Linked DNA regions of Solanum lycopersicum. The protein of the gene in region 1 binds, or shares a complex with, the protein of each later gene. Links are inferred from orthologs where the notes say so. Each region holds a gene or a part of one and is shown on either strand. Other genes may lie near its edges.

What was found. The genes of interacting proteins can lie anywhere in the genome.
Region 2: mediator of RNA polymerase II transcription subunit 14 (region 1) and mediator of RNA polymerase II transcription subunit 11 share a complex: the UniProt entries of both Arabidopsis thaliana proteins name them as parts of the mediator complex. The link is inferred for Solanum lycopersicum from reciprocal best matches to the Arabidopsis thaliana genes SWP and AT3G01435.

What each region holds. Positions count from the first base shown.
Region 1 is NC_090800.1:84,077,137-84,083,104, reverse strand, and holds the start of mediator of RNA polymerase II transcription subunit 14, read left to right. Parts: upstream 1-2,267; 5' UTR 2,268-2,591; coding exon 2,592-2,801; intron 2,802-5,002; coding exon 5,003-5,968. UniProt on the Arabidopsis thaliana protein: Component of the Mediator complex, a coactivator involved in the regulated transcription of nearly all RNA polymerase II-dependent genes.
Region 2 is NC_090803.1:5,625,740-5,629,689, forward strand, and holds the start of mediator of RNA polymerase II transcription subunit 11, read right to left. Parts: upstream 2,801-3,950; 5' UTR 2,485-2,800; exon of another isoform or gene 2,480-2,484; intron 1,192-2,479; 5' UTR 1,177-1,191; coding exon 1,123-1,176; intron 145-1,122; coding exon 28-144; intron 1-27. UniProt on the Arabidopsis thaliana protein: Component of the Mediator complex, a coactivator involved in the regulated transcription of nearly all RNA polymerase II-dependent genes.

The DNA.
Region 1 (5,968 bases):
TTGTCAACCTTTGATGTAGATGATTCACCAAAATCTTTGTTTGAATCCTTCCGAACATTCATAGGATCATGCAAAGACTTTTTTCTATTTTCTTTCCAATTTTCATCGTCCGAATCATAAATCCTTCTATTAGTAAAAGTACTCATTAATATGATGTAATAAAACAATGGGAAAAAAAACGGATGATGAAGTAAGAAGAAAAAGAAGACCTAGAGACAGCTGGTGTAATATAGCATTGAACAAGAAGAAAAAAAGAACAGATAATGGATTAAGAATAAGAAGAAGAACTATAGACGGATGATGGAGTAAGAAGAAGAAGAAGAAGAACCAGTGAACAATGGTCCAATTTTCAGCAATTTCAATTTTTTGGAATTTTGAAATTCAAAATTTAATATTAAATGTTGTGAAACGTTTTTAATTAAAATTAATAATTCAAAATTCAAAAAGTGATTCAGAAGATTGAGCGTTTTAGTGAAGAAAAAATAGGCATGATATTGGGGAAGTGTGTTTTATAGGAGATAGAAGACTATGTATCTCTAAACTTCTACTAAATTATTTTTTTAAAAAGGAAATTATGTAATGTTTAAAAAAAGAAGAGAAAATTAGAGAATACTAAACTTATAGTTGTGTATTTACGTTATTTCATCTAAATGTCTAGCTCAAATGAGGTAGTGCCTAATGTCATTGAGAGCGAGTACCCTAGGCTCGCTTTGCTTATTCAAGTTTCACCCTTTCTTTCAAAAATCAAATTAAAGAGGGTTGTTCAAAATAGATTCAAAACTAATAAGTCAACCACGAAACTGACTTATTAGTATTGGATTATCACATTAATGGTTGGTGAACGTATTAAAATTTAACAGTTTGTCGATACCGGGTAGATTACTCCATTTTTCTTATTGGATAAATTATTACTTTACTAAGAATTATTATAGTTATATTTTTACCGTAAGTATCGTTATTAATAAATACCTATGTGAATGCACCCTCAAAATTTAGTTTTTCAAATATTTCTCATTATGTATAATTAAAGAATTATCATTTATCTGCTTAAGTAGAGCTAAAAAATATTTTGTTTGATCGAAGATTGATATATTAGTGGGTGAAAGTGAAAAAGAAAGCATGAAACAATTGAGCCAATGCACCATTCCTTAATTACCAATCCGACATTAAATGAACCATTACCTTATTAGTTGGCTAGTGGATCAGTCTATTTAAAAATCAATATCCGACAAGCCAAATAATTAAGCATAACTATCCATCTGATCCGTCCAATACACAAACCTAAATTTTAGGTTATTGAAAATGTCCAAATAATATATATGGACTATGATGATCTAGTTGTATAAAATAAATGTGATATTTAAGATACAGACATCAAGCTATTAAAACACACTATAAAAAATGAGAGAATGAAAAGAGTGATCCTATAAACGAAACTAATTTGAATTTATGCTAAAGCGTTTGATTGCATAAGTGTCATATATCTCATAATGAAATTGACGGAATCTCCCTTCATCATTATACCTCAATGCATTATTTAATTTTAATTACGTGATAGTTTTTGAGGTTAAGGTATGCCTCCAAACATGAGAATGAAACTCCATATATTCAGAGATGTTGATCTTCTTCATTAATGTGAAAATAACCAGTTTAAAGCTTGAAAATTTGTAGTGAAACAATATTTGAAAATAATAGTTAAAACTTTTTGACGAATAAATAATGTAACGGTGCATATAATTATCAAATAGACGAAGCCATCATCACTTTAAGAAAATCAAGAAATGTGTAATTTCTTGAAAGAGAATTCTGAAACTGGGGCGGAGTAATAAGGGACTACGAGGACATGTTCATCTCTGGACCTGGACAAACAAGTGGGCGAATACTATGACTATAATAATTAGATTTCACTATTACGTGATAATTTTTTAAACAAGTATACCAGAAGTAAATTCGCAATGATTTATTAGACGCGTAAATCAAGAAATTTAAGTTTCATGAAGAATAATTCAGGTCACAGATGAATAATAAATGAATGATTGTTAAACACCGTTTTAAAGAAAAAATAAAATAATAGATAAGTTCTTACCGCTCAACAGATAAGCTCAAACAATATTTAGGCTTCACATACTTTGAAAGGTATATCAAAAAACGCAATAAAAATATTTTTTCGCACACTTAATAAATATTTTTATATGGAAACTTTCTAAATATTATATTTTTTTCTAAATCAACATGATTTAAGGAGATGAATTTTTATAAACTTGGTCAAATAGAACTTTAGAGGTTTTATATTAGTTTTGACTTCTCTCCGACTAGTAGTACCATATTCCAATTTTGCACACCCTCTCCCTTCCGCCGTTACGCGTTACCTTCAGACATCCGATCTATCAAAAAGGGAAAAAAAAAATAGAACAACACTCGCTTCATTCACTCTCTCTACAGGTCGGAGATTCATATTTTGTTTCAAATTCCACAATTTTTACAAACCCTAATAGTAATTGATTGTTTGGGCGGTCAATTTTCATTAAATGGCATTGTATTAGTAGGAATTCGGGATCGTCGGAGTAATTTAATCGGAGGGTTTTGCGGAGATGGCGGAATTAGGGCAGCAGACGGTGGATTTCTCGGCACTGGTAAGCAGAGCAGCTGAGGAGTCGTATGTTACGTTGAAGGAATTGGTGGAGAAGTGCAAGTCGTCTAACTTATCTGATTCTGAGAAGAAAATTGGGATTCTTAAATATGTAGTTAAGACTCAGCAGCGTATGCTTCGTCTCAATGTCCTATCCAAATGGTGCCAGCAGGTTGTTTTCTTTTTTTTTTAATCTATTCACTCCCTCTCTCATTATGTATGTTGATGCATTCAAGATTGAACACTATCTTTTTTTAATTTTTTAGATATAATGATGTGTTTTTCCCAATTTGTGACCCCCTTTATTAATCCAAAGGTACCCGTTACCTCCCACCGGCATAGGTACGGGGAAAATTTTCTTTCCAGGCTTAGGCAGATGGGGATTCTATGTTTGAGTTCTTTAAGGGTTATAAGAAGTGTGCCTTCTTTCTTCTTTGTTGAGGGGTGCGAAGAGTAGTTTTCGACTTCTAGGGTTTCTTTTGTTTCAGGATTTGTGAATTGGAAAGAGGAAAAGGAGAGGATTTTCTCTTTCTTTATTGATGCATTGAGAGAGTAGTGACAGAATGTATATTGGTCATGTATTTGTTTTTGTGAAATTTGTGAGTTGGAATGGAGAAAAATGGATCTTGATTAAGATTAGAAAGGTAGCCGTGAAATGAGTAGGGTGGATGTTGTTTTAGGAATTGGGAAAAGATGGACCACGAGGAGTAATTTAAAACTTAAAATCAGATAGTTAGGGTGGAAGTTCTAGTTATAGTGAATGTCGAGGACAATTGCCAAAAGAAAACAAAAGTTGAGGACAACTTCAAAGGTTTTAAGATTGTACGATGCTCTGTTCAAGTTGTACCAACAGCTTATTTGATGAAAGGCGGAATGATCCAAGAGACCCTTGTATTTGAATCGGATTGTCGATTAGACCCTTCTATTCTCGCCTTTTTTTTTATGACAAGGGAAACCTGGAGCCGCTGCCTTTTGGGTGCACATAGGGTAAAACCCCACTCCTATGCAATAGCTCGCAAACCACATAGGAGAGGTAACCCGCACCAGGCGACTCAGAAGGCAAACCCCCTTGCTTTCACATGCAAGGTGTTTCGAACTTGAGACCTCCAACAAAGCCCTTCTATTCACGACTTTGTCGACTGAACTTTTAGACTCAATGAAACACAATCTTCTAAACCCCTTTGACCCTTCAGATTTTTAATGACATGTCATTTATTTTTAACTTTATTTTGAAGTTTTCAATTTTTTTCCTTATTCACTCCATTTCTCCCTCACCGTCTCTATCCCTTGACCACCTCTTTCCATTTCTTACATCTGATATACCACCATAACTTTCCATCTTTATCGGTAACCACTTCCCAAAAAAATTAAAGACCTCCATTCTCCTCGAAATTTTCATCATTCACAACTTTCGATCACCTTTTTTTTTCAGCAACGCCTCTGTCCACCACTTAAACCACCGTGAAGACTGTCATTTTCTGATGAGATGGTAGAGAAGATGAGCAATCTGGCGATCAGTTCGTTGAAGAAGGGAGAAGATGAAGAGGTTTCCAATATACAAAAAGCTGAACAATTTTGCTCTTTGGGCAATTAACAATTTGGGTTTATTTTATTTTATTTTATTTTATTTTGTTTTGTTCTGGACCAACTTGTTTTGCACTATGTTTTTAATTATAATAAATTGATGACCATTTTTGGTCACGTTTTGACAAAAAAAAACCACCACTGTGAACTCCTCTTCTCCATTGATGCCAATGAACACCACTAAAAGACCTCAATATTTCTGGACATATGCACATAATTTTACACAGCACACACTCCACCTAATTCAAAGAATCACAATCACTCTTCACGCTCTAAAACTACTGGATCTTTGTCACCTAACAATTACGCCAAAAACATGGAAAGGAAGGACAAACCAGGAACAGTAGGACTTATCCCATTTCTAATCTTGGGAGAAAGAGTATGTGTAAAAGAAATAGGGTGGGGTGGGAACAATGGAACTGCTGTCACACCAAAAGAGCTATGAGTTTCCTGTAGATCTTGCTTCAAACAACTTTCTGTAGCATCATTTGAACCTTTAATCTTTGATTTAATAAACTCTTTCGAGGTATATGTTGGTAATGCTATGTACAAGGTTTGTCTTCATGTCTTTCTTCTCCCTTTCATGTCTTCATTTCTTCATCTGTCTTTTTCTGGAAGGAAAGATACACTTGTATTATATTCAGTATCTAGGTGAGTAGAAATATGGTTGTCAAATCTTCCTGGACCCTTAGAATCAACGGTTGGCCCTATATTCTTTATCATTGATCTCGTAGAAACTGCAGTTCAAACTCCGTATTTAAAGTACCAACACAATTATCTGGTTTGCAGGTCCCGTTGATACAATACAGTCAGCAGCTTGCATCCACTTTATCTAGTCATGATACATGTTTCACCCAAGCTGCCGACTCGTTGTTTTTTATGCATGAAGGACTACAACAAGCCCGTGCTCCCATCTATGATGTTCCTTCAGCTGTTGAAGTTCTTCTTACCGGAAGTTATGATCGTTTGCCAAAATGTATAGAAGATGTAGGCTTGCAGAGCACATTAAATGATGACCAGCAAAAACCAGCATTAAAGAAATTAGACACACTGGTTAGGTCGAAACTCCTTGAAGTTTCGCTTCCTAAGGACATTACTGAAGTCAAAGTTTCTGATGGTACTGTTCTGCTTCGTGTGGAAGGAGAATTTAAAGTTCTAGTTACCCTCGGTTACAGAGGACACTTGTCAATGTGGAGGATATTACATATGGAGCTGCTTGTTGGTGAGAGAAGTGGTCCTATGAAGCTGGATGACTTTCGGCGGCATGCTCTTGGTGATGATTTAGAACGAAGAATGGCTGCTGCAGACCATCCATTTATGACCTTATACTCTATCTTGCATGAGCTTTGTGTGGCACTTGTTATGGACACAGTCATAAGGCAAGTGCAAACACTTCGTCAAGGAAGGTGGAAAGATGCTATTCGTTTTGAGCTCATAACTGATGTCAGTACTGGACAGGCTGGCAGTGCTGGCTCCACACAAACATCACAAGACGGGGAGTCTGACTCTGCTAGTTTGCGTACTCCTGGGCTGAAGATTTTGTATTGGTTGGATTTGGATAAGAACTCTGGAACATCCGAAATTGGAACATGCCCATTTATAAAAATTGAACCTGGACCAGATCTGCGAATTAAGTGTCTTCATAGCACATTTGTTATTGATCCTCTAACGGGAAAAGAAGCAGAATTTTCCCTTGACCAGAGTTGTATTGACATTGAGAAGTTGCTGCTAAGGGTGATATGCTGTAATCGCTAT
Region 2 (3,950 bases), on another chromosome or scaffold:
GTGCAAAGAAGTAAAGTATGTCCTTACCTTGATTAGTTGCATGAACTCACTACAATGGTTGTTAATAAGCTCCTTCCTGGGGCCGCTCGGATTTGCCATTTCATCCATTACACCTCCTGCTAGCTCCAGAACTCTGACTATCCTCTGCAAGCATCAGAGGAAGATACAGCAACAGAAGGTATGAGAGTAATGTTTCAGTTACAATTTTTTCTATCAAGAAAAGTGATTACTGACTCCGCATTGAAAGTTATGATCGTGATTTACTCATCAAATTACGATTAGTTGCCTTTGCACTTGACATGCTATATCATCTCCACGTTTTTAATCTGAAGAAACCAATGACTAGGAAACAACAGAGATGCTGTTTCCGTTAGACCAGAGAAAACTCGTGTCAGTAGATATTCAGGGCATATGACAGGACGATCTCGAATACGATTTGATTTCCAACTGTTGAAGATCAGCCTGGAGTTTGTGGAAGATACTCAATGAGCCAGACAGGAAGAAAGCAACCAACAGAAGCAGAAGTTTGAAAAGCCCTTTCAGATCCTATTCTCGGTCCACAGCGTCTTTGATTTATTCATCATTGTCGTCATCTCAACACTATTCCCATCTTCATTCTCTGACTTCGAATTATATTATTTTGGCTGATTTGAGGATGGGTTGAGTTGGGTTGGGTCAGCCCATTTTGACAGTTAGGTGGGTGACATGAAATTCTTAGTCATGGTTATCTAGCCAAGCGGCTCTTGTTCTCATTCATTTCATTTGTCCGGTTGTCCCAGAAATTGAAGGATCCGGAACTCCAGAAGGCTTAGGAGAGCTCAATGGTGGAGTCCCTTACCGAGGCATAACACCATCCATATATCTTCAAGCTTGTCTATGTGTTTCACCCAATCAACGAAATATGGATTTCACCTAAATTCAAAAAGTACTCTCCTCGCTCTCTTTCTTTCTTGAAACATTTTGGTATACAGGATAGGGGAACAAGTAACAAGGACTCGGGCAAGGAAGGAATAATATTGTAGTATCAATTCTGAAATCAGAACATTAAGTATTTTGATGACAAAGAATAGCAGCTACTGAAATCAACCCATCTTAAGTCAATAATCCTGTAGAAACATTTACCTTCTCAACATTTTGCAGCCGCTGCAATGAAGTATTCTGGCTTTGCGAATCCATGTATTCTGAGGGAAGCTGTCAGGACAGGAGAAAAAGATTACTGAATTGCAATGCCGTAGAGCGATCTAGATGTGGAGAAATAAACAGAATCTATAAAACCTGATTATGTGCAGTTTTCAGAGATTTTGGTTCTGAGATCTTTGCAGTCAAATAATTAAACAATCAGAAACCTAAATCCTCTGTAATCAATCCGAAAACAGAAGAAAAACTTACATCTAATAAGTATTATGTCCATTAAACTTACCACCCTACTACACTCTTTCAAGGTACGGGTTTGGCCGAAATCAACAACTTTTCTCTGAACTCTATATTTGTCTTAAGAAATCTATTTAATATGTATAAATTATTAATTTATAAGAGATTATTTTATCCTGCGTGTAGTTGGCAAGATGCAGGATAACAATCTCATGCGATATGTTCTAAAATGTTGAGATTGGCTATTCCATATAGAAGTTGGATAGCTGATCCCACGAGAGAAATCCTTGTCTATTCCATCCCCCATACCGAACGATCAAGGACTAGAACACTGAACCCGTAAACTTCAAATCCTAGCTCCGCCTTTACCCCCAAGACCTGCTGATTATCAAACGAGCAATCCTAACATTTCACCGTCTTCCTCTAGCATTTCTGCAAAGGGGCTATTTCCTTCGACACTCAAACCCATTGCCAGACTTGATTAATCACCCCTTACTGTTCAAATGGAATCATTTCGTTTTTTGCAATTTTCTAATTGTTCAATAGTCTTATAAATTTGAATTCAATTTTTCAAATTCTATCTCGGAGTAGCCATTCACTCAACTCCGAATGAGCTCTTTCGAATCGTTCAATAGCCCTGAACCTGAGATCTGCAGTTTATTAAACAAGCAACCAGTGATAGTCTTATGTTTCTTCGCTGTTCCAAATTTGTCCTACACTCTCAAAACCTCACTAATTTCATATTCCACTTACTTCATTAACTCTTTGTCATCTTCTCTCTTCTCCATTTTTTGGAGGAATTCATCACTCATATCTCTGACTGCAGCGGCTCAACCCTAAAGCCAGCCACTAAAGCAAGCAGTGGATTTAGGACCCAAAAAAATAAGGTCCTCAAATTACAAATCCCTGAAGCTCCGAAAGAACCAAAAAGCCCCAAATTCAGCTCAAATGCACAACGATATTTCATATCATGCATGAGTGAAACAAAGCTCAGATACAAATACAAATACATATAAGACGCACAGGCACGAAATATTTTTCTTATTATTAAAAAAGGAGCCAGCGAGATGTCTGATATCGGCATCTACAAGTGAGAAGTCAATCATACCTTACCTTCAACGGCGGCTATGAGTGGCAGAAGAACGGCAGTCACCGGTGGTCGGAGATAGTCTCAGCTCCGAGTTGTTGCCTGTAATTTTTATTTTTTATTTTTATCATACAAGCATGTAATTGAATAAACATATTGCTTAAATTAACGCATATTTTTTTTAAAAAAAAACATTTTTTCAATTTTTTATTTGTTTAATATGTTATAAAGGTTTTAAAAAAGATATAGCAAACAAAAAATTCAACATAGTGTGAAATTAGGTCTTAGGCGTAACTCACACCCCAAAAGCTAGCTCAAAAGGAAACTCACACCTCAAAAGCTAGCTCAAAGGGTGGAGGATTGCTCAAGCCTTATAAGGAGTTCACTCATCTCATTAATCACCGATGTGGGACTTTTTGTCATTCTTTAACACATAGAAACTATATAATTCTCTATACATATACAGTTGAAGCAAATTGTATAAAATGAAGTGTATAAAACAAAAAATAGAAAGACACTTGGGCAGAGAACTGTATAAAAACGAAGCGTATAAAGCAAATTGCATTATTATAAGTGTATAGAACGATTATATAAAATTTGAATTTGTATAAAATGAGAAAGAGAAAGACAAAAAAGACTTGACAAGGAATATACAATTGAATAGAATTGTATAAAACGAGAAAGAGAGAAATTAGATACAATTTGAGAATTGTATAAAACGAGAAAGAGAGAAAGACAAAAGAAATTGGGCAGGGTGGTATTTTTATTGTATAATTATAATTGTATAGGACGAAAATATATGTACTTGCATGTGTATATACAATTTTCTCATGCTTTATACAAACAGAAACGCAATTTATACATTTCGCTTTTGTTTGTATAAGTGAGAAAGGCGAGGGTGGCGAGCGAGATTTGGGAGAGTGGCGAGCGAGACCTGGAAGAGGGGAGAGAGAGGAACAAAAATATATGTATTTATACAATTTTCTCTGCTTTATACAATTAGAAACAATTTTTATACACTTGTGTTTGTGTAAAAAGTGAGGAAGCGAGTGAGAGATTGGAGGAGAGTGGCGAACGAGATTTTTGGGATAGAGGCGCCTGACAATTTTTTTGCAAACGTTTACTATGAAGCATAATTAAATCAAACCCTACCTACTCTATTTATTTTAGGTTATTAGTTTGCTATATACAATTTTCCCTTTAAAAATACATTTGCTGATTAAATGAATATATACTAATCTAAAAACTATTTATTTTCAAAAACGTTTTCTTAAAACAAGTTTTTTAAAAAAACTTTTTAGCAAATTCATTTGAAAAGTGTTTTTATAAGCAATATGTGTTTGACTAATTTTTTTAAAAAGTGTTTTTATAAGCAATTTGTGTTTGAATAATTTTTTTAAAAAGTGTTTTTGAAAGTCAAATTACGAAAAAAAACAAATATCGATGTGCTTTTAATATTAAAATTATTTTATAGAGAGAAACTATTTTAAAC